Linked DNA regions of Drosophila melanogaster. The protein of the gene in region 3 interacts with the protein of the main gene of each other region in a pairwise test. Each region holds a gene or a part of one and is shown on either strand. Other genes may lie near its edges.

Evidence for each region.
Region 1: the proteins of ArfGAP1 (region 3) and gcm2 interact in a two-hybrid assay, tested with the Drosophila melanogaster proteins (one large-scale study listed by BioGRID).
Region 2: the proteins of ArfGAP1 (region 3) and CG3021 interact in a two-hybrid assay, tested with the Drosophila melanogaster proteins (one large-scale study listed by BioGRID).

Annotation. Positions count from the first base shown.
Region 1 is NT_033779.5:9,607,038-9,613,259, reverse strand, and holds gcm2 (gcm2), read right to left. Parts: upstream 4,699-6,222; 5' UTR 4,363-4,698; coding exon 4,352-4,362; intron 2,659-4,351; coding exon 1,914-2,658; intron 1,849-1,913; coding exon 1,758-1,848; intron 1,699-1,757; coding exon 725-1,698; 3' UTR 554-724; downstream 1-553. UniProt on the Drosophila melanogaster protein: Transcription factor with a minor role promoting glial cell differentiation and a more significant role in hematocyte differentiation.
Region 2 is NC_004354.4:1,025,207-1,028,843, forward strand, and holds CG3021 (uncharacterized protein), read left to right. Parts: upstream 1-1,584; 5' UTR 1,585-1,686; coding exon 1,687-2,340; intron 2,341-2,428; coding exon 2,429-2,944; 3' UTR 2,945-3,084; downstream 3,085-3,637. Other genes in the region: Cdc45 (cell division cycle 45), read right to left, coding at 3,342-3,637. UniProt on the Drosophila melanogaster protein: Catalyzes the 2-thiolation of uridine at the wobble position (U34) of mitochondrial tRNA(Lys), tRNA(Glu) and tRNA(Gln).
Region 3 is NT_037436.4:12,414,480-12,419,530, reverse strand, and holds ArfGAP1 (ADP-ribosylation factor GTPase activating protein 1), read left to right. Parts: upstream 1-1,950; 5' UTR 1,951-2,318; coding exon 2,319-2,378; intron 2,379-2,443; coding exon 2,444-2,991; intron 2,992-3,051; coding exon 3,052-3,256; intron 3,257-3,526; coding exon 3,527-3,586; intron 3,587-3,661; coding exon 3,662-4,195; 3' UTR 4,196-4,505; downstream 4,506-5,051.

The DNA of each region.
Region 1 (6,222 bases), on a different chromosome or scaffold from region 3:
CCACTATGCGATTACTTTAAATGTGAAATCCTCTTGCTGAAGATAGCGATTATAACTTGTAGTACTATTCTCTTTAGTCTGGTTATGTCTGTGTGTCTGTGTCTGTGTGTCATTGTGAGTTTATCGTAAAGCAACTCTGCAGTAGTTCAGTTTCTTACCGGTAGGAGGCTTTTTAAAAAAAAACTGCAAGCCATGTAAGCGGTACAAAATTTGGGTCTTGGCAGCCAATTTGTTTTTCTTTAAATGTTTCCGCCAATTATAAAACATCATTCGTATTAAAGTATATCTTACTATCTATCGATTTTAAACTACAAATCATTAAATGCGTCCTAAAATTACTACAGTTATGGTTAAGTGAGCACCTGCTTGTCTACATTACATGGTTTTTACCATTACATTTTACATGGTTCTTACCAACAATTTTTTTACAGCGCGACATCTATCTCTGATTTCAAGAACCGCACCATCATGACCGCTGAAAATTAGCTATGTTTGAATTGGTCGCGCAATAAGAAATTATATTTACGCACTTAAATTAAATACATTTACTTTTACAAATCAACACTTTTCATAATTTATTTGCCGAGAAAAACAATTGGTAAACCGTTTAACACTACACGTACAGATGGAAATTAAGATTTCACCACTATTTTAAACACTATGTTACTATGCTTAGCTATCGACTATGAGTAATCCTCCGGTGTCCGGATTGGTTAAGTACTATTCAATGGGTGACCGATGGGGCTAGGCCTGTAGCTGCTGCTGGGTGGTGCAAGTGGTGGTGATGGTGATGGTGGTACGTCAGCGTGGGCGGTGGTGGTGGAGGCGGTGGATGGCCAGGGGGCGCGGCCACTGTCGGCGCAGTGGATCCTCCGGCAGTGGCAAATCCACCTGCTACCGCCATTTGTTGCTCGTAGCTGGTGTAGTGATCGTAGTAGCCGCCGTATCCGACTTCCAGGCCATTTCCGGTTGCAGTATTTCCTGGTGCCGTAGTAGTTCCTGTGTCGAAATAGCTGACTCCATTATAGCCACTACTGCTCTCGTAGTAGTGATGTCCCGCTGTCTGATTTCCACCGAACTGTTGGTGGCTCTGCTGCTGCTGGTGGTGGTGCTGTTGCATTTCGTACTCCGCCTTGGGGCTATAGTAGTAATCGTAGTTGTCCTCCACATACGGCTGCGTCTCCACGGTGGCATTGTACTTAATGGTGGGTCCCGGTTCGGCCTTGCAGCTGATCTCCTCCTGACCACCGCCACCACCCAAATGCTTGATCTGCGAGTAGTTGATGAACTCCGGTTCCGGAGTGGCCAGTTGCGGGCTGGAATCATAGGCTACTGCCTGGCATTGTGTGTGTCCGTGCACGGGAACACCCATCGCAAAGCTGTTCCCGCTGGAGGATTGCTGGTATGCGGCCAGTTCCGAAATGCTGCAGGCGTAGGGCAAACTGGGAGATTTACTAGGTGCCGCGGTGGCCGCCGCTGGAGTTGCATGGTAGATGGGATAGTTATAGGTGATGTGCTGGTGGTTGACCGTAAACACATTAGCTGCCGTCTCGCAGGGTGCCGATGACTCGGATCCACTTAGTGGCCAAGAATTGGTGCCGTAATTCGAGGATTGTGACAACTGATGGCTCCTCGCCGTGGTGCTGTCATCCAGGTAGCTGCAAGTGCAGTGGCTATAACCGGCGCACTTGCCACAGGCTAATGGGGGATACAAATTGTAAAAGAAATCTTTAAATATTCTTGTTTTATATACCTACCATTATACTGATATATATCCAATGCGGTGTGAGCCAGAGGATTGCTGACAGCAGGACGCTTAAGAACCTTGCTAATCAGACTGTGTTGTTGCTGTCGTCAGAGAAGAATGGTTAAGATGATACATCCCGGGTGAATGAATGTCTATCTAAGCTCACCTTCGCCTGCTTGACCAGACCCGCAATGACCGACTTCTTGGCGACTGATCCGTTGGCTGACTTTCCAGCCAGCGGCACACGTCCAAAGGCCCGCTTGGAAACACTGGAGTTCTTCGGATCCGGACGCAGGTGATCATGCACTCCCTTGGCCTGAAAAAAGATGGCATTGCCGGAGTGCCGCCAGAAGTGGGTCACCGGATAGCCGCAGTGACCGCGACACGGTTTAATCTCTAGTCTACCGCCACGACAACTTTTGTTGGGACACGCCTTGCCCTCCTGCTTCCGCCGGGCTTTGTCGCAAATGGCTGGGCGCAGGTTGATCTTGGATCCGTTGGGCAGGGTGCAGTGTTGGGAGCAGACCAGGACGCCCAGGCAGCTCTTCTTCAGAATGTTCACGTTGTGGTTGTTCGTGTTGCGCATGGCCCAGCCGGAAATGTGCTTCTTGGCCTCCTCGTTGTGCAGCGAATAGATGTGCCTCACATGCCCGTCGCTCCACTCGTTGAACTCGTCGAACTCCTGGTCCGGCACATGTGGCACAATGGCATCATTGATGTCCCACTCCCGTTTTCCCTTGCCCGTCGACGACGACGGCATGGTCATGGAGCCACCCGCCTGCTGTTGACCAGGACTTGGACCCGGATGCACCGAATGCGTACTCTGACTTTGGGGCTGGACAAACTGGGTAAGCTGAGAATGATCGGGTTGCTGTGTGAGAAGTTGCTGCGTCTTGAAGCTGTAGCCATTTCTGTAGAGGATTTTATATATAATAAGTTGCATTTTATATTCATAGTTAAGAATACTATATTATTATATTTGAATTTTGCCAAAGAGCACAAAACATACTTTAACTTGAGTTCAGATTTTTATATCACTTCTAGTAGCCACATAATAAAAAAACACCACTGCCCTTTTGGAATCTAAGTTAAGGCAAAACTGTGAGTCACAGCATTAACTTTTAAATCGAATTTATTTACATTAAAACTCTTTACATCGAGTAAAAACTTTAAGTGATCCATTTAACTGTGACTTTATCGCCAAAGCCTAAGCATCGTTTAAGGAATTGAAATCCTATCTTAATTGCGCCCTAAACTGTTTCGTAGGGGGCCATCCCAACCCAACACAAACCAATCAAATGAAACGTTTGCCAGGTTTATGGGCCTCATGAAACGCATGGTTATTTAGGCCCAGTTTAGAGGGCTGGTACCGTTAGCCCCAAATCTTGTGCACCAGGTAATCCAAGCTGGCCACAATCGTAATTCGAGCGCCAGTTGAGGAGGCGGAGATGCATATTAAACCGACACTCCGATCGTGAGTCAGCTGGGAATCGCTAGACTCGATGGAGGGCCTCAGCCGAGATTCTCCATGTGTGGGAGTTATTAGAGAGCGAGCTCTGCAATTAGCAATAAATTTGTCTTCCATCGATTTCGAAGCCGATGGATCGATTCGCCTCGGTCCCCTGAGTGTTTTTATGTGTACTTGGAAGTCAGCAGGTTGCACAGCATCTAGCACCAAGAACCACACACCAAATACCTGTGCTACGGTTCGCCTGGTGGTCTTTGGTTTCCCCCGATTGAACCTGTTCGTGGCTAGTGGCTCGCTTTGTTTTGGGTCCGTAAATTGACTGCTCGACACTTCGGGGCGCTCGTTAGTTGGGCTTATCTGATGCTGATAGCGTCTCACTTCGTTCGAGATCTGTATTTTTGGGCCTCCTCTGTCCAGGGCTCATAATAAGTTTGTCACCTAGAAAATATGTCTCTATAAATCGAAGGGGCCGGGGGGGCATCATCATCATCATCGGCTCTTTGACCCTTTCACTCGAGCGCCGCTCCGCCTACGACTGTGTGTGGTCCGCCGGTTTCCAAGATTCGAGATCCCCCTTCCGAAATCCAACATCCAAAATACGAGGCACACCCCGCGGCTCTTTGGAGCGGATTGGACTGGACCGGAGTGCCATTAACTAAGCTGTGGAACGCGCTCAGCGTGATAATAAAGCGTTTGAAATCATTTACATTTTCCCTGACCTCCCCCGCTGCCTCTTTATCGTTTGATTTGTGGCCCATTCTTCATCCGAGATTGATCTGAGGTGTTTGGAAGCTCAACACTTACGCAGATGGCTTGGGTTTAACGCGTGTCGGCACAGTTCAGATCAGCAATAATTTGAAACATTTGTACTGAGAGCTTTTTAATTCTTCGGTAGCTCTATGCCTTGAATAATGTGAGCAAATTAATTTTTAATCCATATTCCTTTGGGTTCCAAGCAGAATAATTTAGAAACTTAGTGAAACCTATTTTAAGCATATTTCAATAATTACCATTATATTTGATAAAAGGTTCGAGAACAAAGTATATGATTATTGTCCTATTAAAAGTATTTTTTGGCAATAAAATTTCGAATTTACATTTGAAAATCTCCGAAAAAGGGACTATTTAGAACTTACATAACAACCATATTCCAATTGAAGCAGCTTCTTTAATCCAGGTATTAGGTGGTATAATTAAAAATATCCAATAAAACCTCAACTGCTCCTAAATGAGTTTTCCGCGATTCGAAAGCCCTGCGAACAGGCAACACTTGAGCATTGTAATCCAATTAGGCGACACTTGTATCCACTGGGCACTTGTATCTCGCGGATAGCCGTCGCTAGTTGAAGCTCCTCGGAACGGATTGGATTGGATTGAACTGAATTGCGCACGCGACGCCGACGATGGGAAACAACCGTGAGAATGACGACCTTTTCGCTGAACCTCGAATACAACCTGCAGGGCGGGATGTGCGCGCGTATCTGGCAGATACGAAAAACAAAAGAGCAGCAGCGGCAGCAGCAGACAAAAACAAACTTCAGCGAGCGAGTAGTAGTGCCAAGTTTTGTCAACAAAGGAATGGTATTATGGCTCTGGCTCCACCTACAAAAACCAACAAAATATTCGAAAGTGGGCGGAGGAGCGGGAAAGCGGGGAAAGCGACGATACAGCGACGAGCCACCCGCATAATTTGCCAAAAAACTCCACGCAGCTGGCAGAGTGGTAAAACGTATCCGTCAGATACATTGCCTTCCAGGCAGTCTCAGTTGCTTCCAGTTCCAGTCGTCTCTTCTCGCCTCCGATTGGTCGGATAAACACGCACACATAGGCTTCCTCTCTTTCGAGAGAAGAGAAGAGAGAGATTTTGAAGTTCCGGCGATGGAGATGGAGGAATTTCTGTGGTGGGGGCTACATACTCGATAAGCATCACAGAAATTTAATTACTTATTATGCCCCTTATCAGTCCCCATTGTTCTGTTTAACTCTGTTTAAGGATATGCCAACAAAAAGCAGTGGAAACCTTTGGCAGAGCATAGATATTCAGGGGTTTATCGTTTGGAATATTCGCCAGATTAGGGGGATGATTAATGGACTGGGTAATGCCGATCTATGCCGCTTAACACGTATTGTAAATTGAACATTCCGATAACTGGCCATGATTGCTTTTTATTTTGAGTCACTTGTATGTATAAATATGTATTCTGTTTCATGGGTCGCCTTAGAAAGGAACGGCATTTGAATCATTAGACTGTTGTCTGTTCATATTAACTATGAAATAAATATAGTTTTGAATTTTCTTTAATTAGTAAACATTTACTAAAACATTCAAAAATTTTCTAATGATACCTAAGTATGTTCTTCCCCCCCAAACACAGCAACTTTCCTCTGGTTATTGGCCAAATAAATTATTTCTCCTAAAGCCACAACATGAGAATACACAAGTGGCAACAATATCAGGGCCAGATCAGCCAGAGGGTGAACTTTTTGGTGAGGCGGGGGCATTGCTGGGCCTAATGCTTGCTGCGTCTTTTGTTTTCACCTGATCAGCCCGCATCGCCATTTGGGCCAAAGTTACAGGGCACAAAAAATAAAATACAATTTATGCATCCACTTGGTAGCACACACTCACAATTAACAGACCAAGAAGAGCAATTTAACAGGGAGAGGCAAAGAAATGGAGGAGCAAATAGGCGTTAAAGTGAAAATTGAAAATGCCGTTGACAGGAAATGTAAATGGTAACAAAAGTGGCAGCGACCGACCAGTGGCAACTGTTGCTGCGCCCCTGCGCTCATCCACTGTGACCCGTAATTAAAAAGGGGCAGGAGGGAATTGGGCCCCTGCAACTATGGCCAGATATATACGGGATTGGGCCTGGAGACGCGTAACTACGCGGATGGCCTGGAAATGGCTGCTGCTGCTGCCGCTGCTGCTGTTGTCGCTTTAACGCTCCACAGCAAATGATACGGGTGACAAATACATTTACCATATATACGAACCAACCAGAAA
Region 2 (3,637 bases), on a different chromosome or scaffold from region 3:
TTGACACAGAAGCTCAAGTGGACATGGGAGCGGTGCTTCGAGACCGCGCCAGCCTTCGCGCGGTAACACAATCAAAAGTATTTTTGATTCGCGACCTTGACGAGCTTACTACTGAAGACGAACTGAGGTGGGCCTGGAGTCCCAGACAGAGATCACAGCAGCAGTGTTGGCAATCAAGAGCCTCTGACAAACGCAGTATGGAGGGAAGACTGCTGAAATAGCAGTTCCAGCCAATCTGGCGGAACCGCTGATCACGCTGATCACTGACAGCGGATGCTAGAGGCCGGACCCAGGTTCAGGTGGTGGAGACTCAGCGAGGAATACACTGCCAGTGACCACTTGGCCATCATTTGCGACCTAGGATGCCCTTCCTCGACCCAAGCCCAGACAGCAGCCCTAGCCATGATGAAATACAAAAAAACATGCAAAGAACATCGACGGGCATTCGTCATCGCAGGTGCATAAAAGTTCATGCTTTTTGTCGAAATACTCTGCAGTATGCCGATTTGCCACGAAAGGAGAGACGGATAAATAACGGATGAGGGCGAAAACGTGCAATCAGAAGTGGCTCTTCTCTAACACACACACACACACACACATCTTCACTCGAAAAAAAATGGAGTTGCTGTTGTTTCCTATTTCGAATGTTTGTTATGGAAGGATAAATAACAGATGAGGGAGAAAAGAAAGCGTGACACACACACGCACCTTAAAAAAAAATGGAGTTCTTGTTGTTTCACAACTTATACACTTTACTTCACAACTGTTAGCGACTTATTATTATTAAGTGGGTTTGTAGGTGTACTGCGACCCAGTCGGCTCTATTGTACTACTACCCCTTCATGACTCAACGATCCCCCTGAAGTCCAATGCACTGTATAAATGCCAGAATTTTATTGTGGTTCAGGGGATTCTGTTTCTCTTGATGGCCAAGCGCCATCCATGCAGCAGAAGCGACAGAGTTCACTTCTGCAATGCCAATTTGTACAAATGGCTGTGAAGCCGGCAATGCCCCGTAAGAATGCCGAGTCAAAATGCGCACGGTGTCTAGTCCCGTGTGCGACTAGAATGCGAGCATAATTCTCAAAAACTGCATCATGCCCATTTGCGGAAAAAAACAGAAAAAAAGAGACGGATAGATAACGGATGAGGGGGAAAACGTGCACTCAGAAGTGACTCCTCCCACATACACAACACACACAGTGTTCACTCGAAAAAATGGAGTTTCGGTCGTAAAAATGGAGTTTCGCTCCTTTCCCATTTCTACAGTTTGGTGAGAAAATATTACGGTTAAATTACTGACCTACCTTAACTCGAAAAAATGGAATTCCTGTTGTTTCCCAGTTCGAATGTTTGTCGAGGAAAGATAACGGATAAAATTACGCACGCACCGTTACTCGAAAAAAATGGCGTTTTTGCTGTTTCCCCTTTCGACACGCGCAAATCCACAATGCGCGGAGCTTTGCTTCATGGCCCGACTGAATGAACTGAACTGACAGCGCATTAAACGCCGGTATTATTAGTGTGACCACCGATGCGATAGTTTATAATACCATGGTATACCCAAAATAAATACCAAAAACTAACGGAAAGCACATCAACTGTTTCTGCCGCATAAACAAAAACTGCTGTTCGTCTAACGTGAAACACATAACTTTGAAATTATTGCTTTGCCAACACCGCCCAATGATTCGCAACGTAGTGGTGGGCGTGTCGGGCGGCGTGGACAGCGCCGTTTCCGCCCACCTGCTGGCGGAGCAAGGATTCAAGGTGCTGGGTGTGTTTATGCGCAACTGGGATGAGGCGGACGAAGTGGGTCGCTGCAGTGGGGAGGCGGATCTGAAGGACGCCGAGTGGGCGTGCCGGCAGCTCGGCGTGGAGCTGCGTCAGGTGAACTATGTGCGCGAGTACTGGACGGCGGTGTTCAGCCAGTTTCTGGACGATTACCAAATGGGCTTGACACCAAATCCGGACATCCTGTGCAATCGCCACATTAAGTTTGACCTCTTTCACAAGCACGCCTTGGAAAATCTCGGCTACGATGCCGTGGCCACGGGTCACTACGCCCGGAATAGTCTGGGCAACTACCTGGAGGGGATTGCCTCCAACAACGACGCCCGCTTGCTAATACCCGCCGATACGTTCAAGGACCAGACATTCTTTTTGGCAGGTATTTCCCGAAAGGCTCTGCAACGCACGATGTTCCCTTTGGGAGACTTCCAGAAGAGCCAGGTCAAGGACTTGGCCAAGAAGATTGGCTTCCAGCGACTGGCCAAAAAGAAGGAAAGCACTGGCATTTGTTTCGTTGGCAAACGCAACTTCAAGGACTTCATACAGGAGGTAAAGCACTTGCCGCGATTGAAAAAGCACATGGCTCAATTTCCTTGATTTCACCACGGACTCAAATCTGGTTTCCCTCCACTTTCAGTACATCACTTCCAAACGTGGTCCCTTCCTAGACATCGACAGTGGAGCCGTTGTCGGCCACCACGAGGGCATCCATCAATGGACTGTGGGCCAGCGGTGCCGTCTGAGCTCATTCCTTCAGCCCTATTTTGTGGCCAGGAAAGAGGCCGCAAGCAATACCATCTATGTGGCATCTGGCCACAACCATCCCGCCCTTCTCAGCACCCACATAGCCGTCGATCCGCCCAACTGGCTGTGTTCCAAGTCCCAACAGATTCTTTCGGACACTGGCAGCTTGAGGTGTCGCTTTCGATTCCAGCACACCAAACCATTGGTGGACTGTCAGCTGAGCATCTCTCCCAGTAACACTTTTCTTGTCGAGTTGGACGCTCCTTTAAGAGCTATTACACCAGGACAATATGCCGTATTCTATGACGACACAGCTTGTTTGGGTTCGGCCCGCATCCTCAGCGCTAATCCCCTAAAGAAAAAAAACGCACAGACGCAGCAAGCTCAAGCCGCAAATCTGGTTAGCTAATGATGTTTCCTCTGAGCCAGAAAATAAACCAAATGTAAGAAGGCAGTCCAACTGCCAACACGGCATGTATAGATAGCATGGTAAATACGTTTTCATAAATTTAAGCGCCGAGTAAATTTTAGACGTGAATCGACACTTTTAATTCCATGGTAAACACTTTAATTTAAATTTATTATTCTAGGTCAAATTTACAATTAGTTTTTGAAAAAGGACATTTTGCATTTTGTGGTCCTGGGAGCAATGATAAAGTTATTAACACACAATCGTACATAAATAGGGTTTGGTAAAATCTTAAACTAAGTGTACACGTGAGGTCTCGCGATATAAAACTAGCTTAGCACATAATATGATTGAGCAGGGATGTGTCGGTAGCAGGTAGAATAGAAAGCGGCGTGGATTAGGCTAACAGCACCGTGAGGGAGTCCAGAAAGCGTGTGAGGTCGCTCTGCCGCAGCTGCACCACCGCTGGCTCGAAAAAGTCCTGCAATAGAGCGACTCCACTCTTTTGCGCCGCCTGCTCGAAGGCCTTGCCAAAGAAGTTTCGCGGAGAGTCTTCCCTTACCGGGACAATGCCTACCAGCAAGCACATGCCCTCCGAAGCGTTCAGGGGACAACTTGCGATCAACGGCAAGTCCGAAGCCTGCCTGGCTCTACTCGTGGCCACATGTCCGCGCAAAAGAAAGCGAGCCAACA
Region 3 (5,051 bases):
CCCAAAATCCAACCCTGGACTCTGCGAGCTGGGAGCTGAAACGAAAACGGATCTCAACGCACTGCCCAATGCCCAGTGGCGCTTTTGGGGGCGTGGCTGCGCCCAGCAAGAGCAGTGACAGAGCCGATAATGGATGCGCAGCAATGCCATTTCTGGCAGATCGGGGAGTACTCCGCGGCTTCTGATAAGACCACCACCAGCGGAGCACACTCGAAGAAATTAAGGGCGCCAACCAAATTCAAATGTATGCAGTGTTGTATTAGGGAAAAACATGGCATAAGTGAAGTTTAAACACAGATAACGGTATCTTTCAATGCTAAAAATTCTATATTTAGATTGAACAAACTTAGAAAATTTTGATTTACTAAAGAGATGTCTTCAACAGAAAGGAAGCTAAAGGAAGTAGTCTCATAATATTATGAACTAAAATCTAAGATCGTTTTGTTAACTACTTGATAGAATATGAAAGGTTATTTTCTCATCTGAGAAGTCTGTTATTTATCTCAGTGCATTGGATCCGCTCCGGCAGCGGGACAAGTAGTTGTTGAAAGCGTCGAGCGAGTGCCCAGCCAGGAACGCCCGGCTCTTTGGCTCACTGGCTCATCGGCTCACTTAGCGAAGGAAGGAGTCGTAAGTTGGCTGGGACGTGGCGATCGGCGGATCGATCGATCGGATTACCCGGCAGGCTTTTAAATTCAACACATCCTGCGGTCGCCGCGGCAATTATATGCTCGTTGCCGCTCGCATCCAGATCTGATCTGCCACGCCCCCCTTGTTGGGCGTGCGACGGCAATTATAGATCCGCTGAGATGCCAAAAGACGCTGACTTAAATAAATGCGCGAGTTTGGAAATTGAAAGGGAATTAGCGGTGGGCAGGCAGAGCCGAACTGCGGAAATATTGTGCATAATTATATGCTAATCCGAATGGCATTGAATTATGTGCAGACGCGTGTGGTCACCTACCTTTTGGACTTTTCCTCCAAGGGGCACTGAAAAATGGGGAAAAGGGAAATGGCTTTTAGGCGGCTCCAAATTCTCTCAGATTTGAGTTCCCTTTCATCTTTGGTGGCCCTGCCACCCGCGGTCTGTTTGCATTGAAGTCGATCATGTAAGTAATTTCCCCTGTCCGGGATTCAAAACACCGAAATCGAATCAAAATCCACCGACAGTCGGTAGGAGATTGATTACTGTTAGGAGTGTGATAAATCGCTGTTTTTATTAACTTTTTTCGGGATGACGCAGCGCAAATTGGCGGCGCTGCATCTCCAGTCGCCGCACGAGTACTGAAGATCTGGAAATCAGATCAGCGTGATAATGTATAATTTGTTGAAGGGTTTTCGGCGTGCTCGCAACAAAGGCGATGCCATCGAGTTGGGTTAATTGAATTTGCTGGAGAGCGGACAGAGATTTTTGTGCAATATTTAGCTAAAATATGTATGTGTATATTAACATTATTAACATTATTAACACATTAACATTAACATATGTTGGATAATGATGAATAAAAATGGTTTTCTAAATGTCTAATTTAATTTATATAATTTCGAAAATATTTGTTCTTATCTAACTTTTTTCGAAATATTTAGTAAATAAGCAGCTTGAATATATTATATGCAAGCTATATACAATAAATATAATACAGCAACAGAGTAAAAAAATATTTTATTGTTTTTATAAAACCGATAGAATTTTAAATTAAAACATTAAAACATGTTAAAGCTAATATTTTTAGGTTTTCTTTTATGAAAGACAGTTTCAAATATATTAAACTTGTTTGCTTAAGATATTTAAATATCCCGCTCATTTTCAATAAACTATCGATATATCGCAATTCCGAACGTTCCACTTTAGTTGCACTTTGGTCACACTGCAAAACAAAAATCCAAGTGGAACTTTGAGATGGGTAAATATCGATAGTATGCCCAACTTCCTTTGGTTTTCCATGCAATATTCGGTATATCGATGCTGTCGTGAGTGGTCAGCTCATCTCCAATTCCAAGTGGGACACGCTTAACACTTTTTTTTTGCCAATTTGCCATTAATTGCAAGCGTCCCAGCTGATCCAAAAAAATTCAAAACTCTGTTAAATGCGTTTGGCCAGGCGTTCGTCGCGATCCGTGGACTTTAAAGGCTCGTAAGCGTGTGTGAGAGCTTCAAATCGCCCCATCTCAAAGCCAAGATTGCACCCAAATCAGCGCCAGCGTCAGCAAAAGTTTCATTAGCAACTCGGTTATCAGCTGCGAAACTGAAGCCAACTGAACGCAAAGAGTTGGGCAATCCGCCAGAGCAGGGCCAGAAACCATAGAAACCAGTTGCCATGGCGAGTCCCAGAACGCGACGGGTGCTCCAGGAACTGAAACCCCAGGATGAGAACTCGGTAGGTTTGCTCCTTTGTCCACATACGCTAGATAAGCTTCAATTTCTTTGTTTAAAAATGACTAGAAATGCTTCGAGTGCGGTACCCACAATCCGCAGTGGGTGTCCGTGACCTACGGCATCTGGATCTGCCTGGAGTGCTCCGGCAAGCATCGCAGTCTGGGCGTGCATCTGTCCTTCGTGCGCTCCGTCACTATGGATAAGTGGAAGGACATCGAGCTGGAGAAGATGAAGGCGGGCGGCAATCGCAATGCGCGCGAGTTTCTGGAGGATCAGGAGGACTGGAACGAACGGGCGCCTATCACGCAGCGTTACAACTCGAAGGCGGCTGCTTTGTACCGCGATAAGATAGCCACCTTGGCCCAGGGCAAGAGCTGGGATCTCAAGGAGGCGCAAGGCCGCGTGGGCAGCAACAATAGCTTCAGCTCAGGTGGCTCCAGCAACAGCAGCTACCAGTCGCGACCCAGTGCAACAGGTTATGGCGGAAACGGAGGCTATCAGAATGGCGGAGGCGCCGAGCCTGGAGGCTATCAGCAGTACCAAACGCAGGAGTTCAAGGACCAGAAGGAGGAGTTCTTCAGCCGACGCCAAGTGGAGAATGCCTCCAGGCCAGAGTAGGATCTTAATGGCATATCTGTCCATTAGCTATGATTTATCCTAGTTGATTGTTTCAGAAACTTGCCACCGAGTCAGGGCGGAAAATATGCAGGTTTCGGGTTCACACGCGAACCACCACCGAAAACGCAATCTCAGGAGCTTTTCGACTCGACGCTTTCCACTTTGGCCTCTGGCTGGAGCCTTTTCTCCACCAACGCCTCCAAGTTGGCCAGCACCGCCAAGGAGAAGGCCGTCACCACCGTCAATTTGGCCTCGACAAAGGTGAGTCCTGCGCCTCAGCTCGTATATCTTTCAGATTTTGATTCCTTATTTGCCTATTCTCTTCGATTTGGTTCAATATTATGTTGATTTTGTATTCTTTTGGTTTATTATTAGTCTGCTGATTAGTTTTAAATAATTTAAAGCTGTAGAAACCCACCTTAACAACAAAAGAGAGCAAAATCCCTTTAGTTAATCCCCATATTTGTTTGTTAATTTAATTGGTACACCTTATTGTTTGTATTATTTATTTGCATCTTTTTTTGGTTGTAGATTAAAGAGGGAACTCTGCTAGATTCCGTACAATGCGGAGTTACCGATGTAGCCAGCAAGGTCTGTAGTTCCCCATCATCCAGTTAATCTTCTCTAAACCCACATCCCTCTAACATATAAACATACCGATCGCAGGTCACCGATATGGGCAAACGAGGTTGGAATAATCTGGCGGGCAGCAACATTTCGTCGCCGCAGGGCGGATACAACGATCCCAACTTCGAGGACAGCAGCGCCTACCAGCGTTCCAATTCCGTGGGCGGTAATCTGGCCGGAGGCTTGGGTCAGCAGAGCGGCGTCAGCGACAGCGACTGGGGCGGCTGGCAGGACAACGGCAACAGCAAGTCGCACATGACCAGCTCGAGTTCGTACCACAATCAGTTGAGTAGCAGCAGCGGCGGCGGTACCGCCTCCGCCGGCCTAACCCGCGACGCTGACTGGTCCGGCTTCGAGGCGACGAACTATCAGAGTTCAGAGACCTCCTACCAGAACGCTTCGTCCGGCGGATCGACAGCTCGCCGCAACATGAAGCTGCAGGACACATCGCAGAAGCTGAGCGAGGGCTTCGAGAGCCTGGACGTGAAGAGTGTGAAGCCCAAGACGGCAACGGCCTCGTCCGCCAACAAAGGCACTGCCGAGGACGACGCCTGGAATCTGCTGATGAACTAGAAACCGTGGCGAGCAGCTTATGCGATTGTATTTTTTGTATTCCATTCGGTTGTCAAGTTGTGTCTCCTTTGTTTTATGTGTCTCTTGATGTCTGGCCCCGAGGCTGCTATGCGCGCATTTAATGTAACCAACTGAATTGTGTATTCATTCTTCGACTTCAAACATAAAGTGCAACTATTCCCGATTATTTCCACAGTTTAGACCAATTTTGTATAGATCTACTTAACTAACGAATTACTTAGCTTAAAGTGTATGCCAGGATACTGCGAGGGATGCGAGATGAGAAAATACATATTATGTTAACAAGTGTAGTCGTTCGTTTTTTAAATGGGCGGTTTTAAATTCAAAAAATATAAATATTTGCAAATTTAAAAAATACATTTAAAATTAATAGTGTTACCCTACAATTCCACATTTTAAAAACCACAAATAGGTTTGAGTCACGGCTAAGCAGTGACGCGATGCATTTTAGGGTATTTTCGACCACACAAGAAGTATATCTAGATAAACGTTCGTGGTCACACTGGCAAACCCAAAAAATTAAAATTGAAGAGTTCTGCGTGAATCGCTTTAAGCCACAAAGTCGCCGAAATAGCGTAAAAGCAGACGAACTCTTAAATAGCTCGACCAGTAGGTAGTGACCACAGAAAAAGTGGGAAATGCAATTGAAGCTTGCCACTTTCTTTTGCATATCCACATTCCTTTCGCCTGCATGTGAGCGTGTGTGTGTGTGTGTGCATGAAAATCGAGTGCAGAATAATTTTTGCCAAATTGGCAACAATTTGCAAGCGTTTCGAGAGAAATTTGAGTCACACCTGTCTGGAAAATGGGCGGAGAATTCAGAAAAGAATGTAGA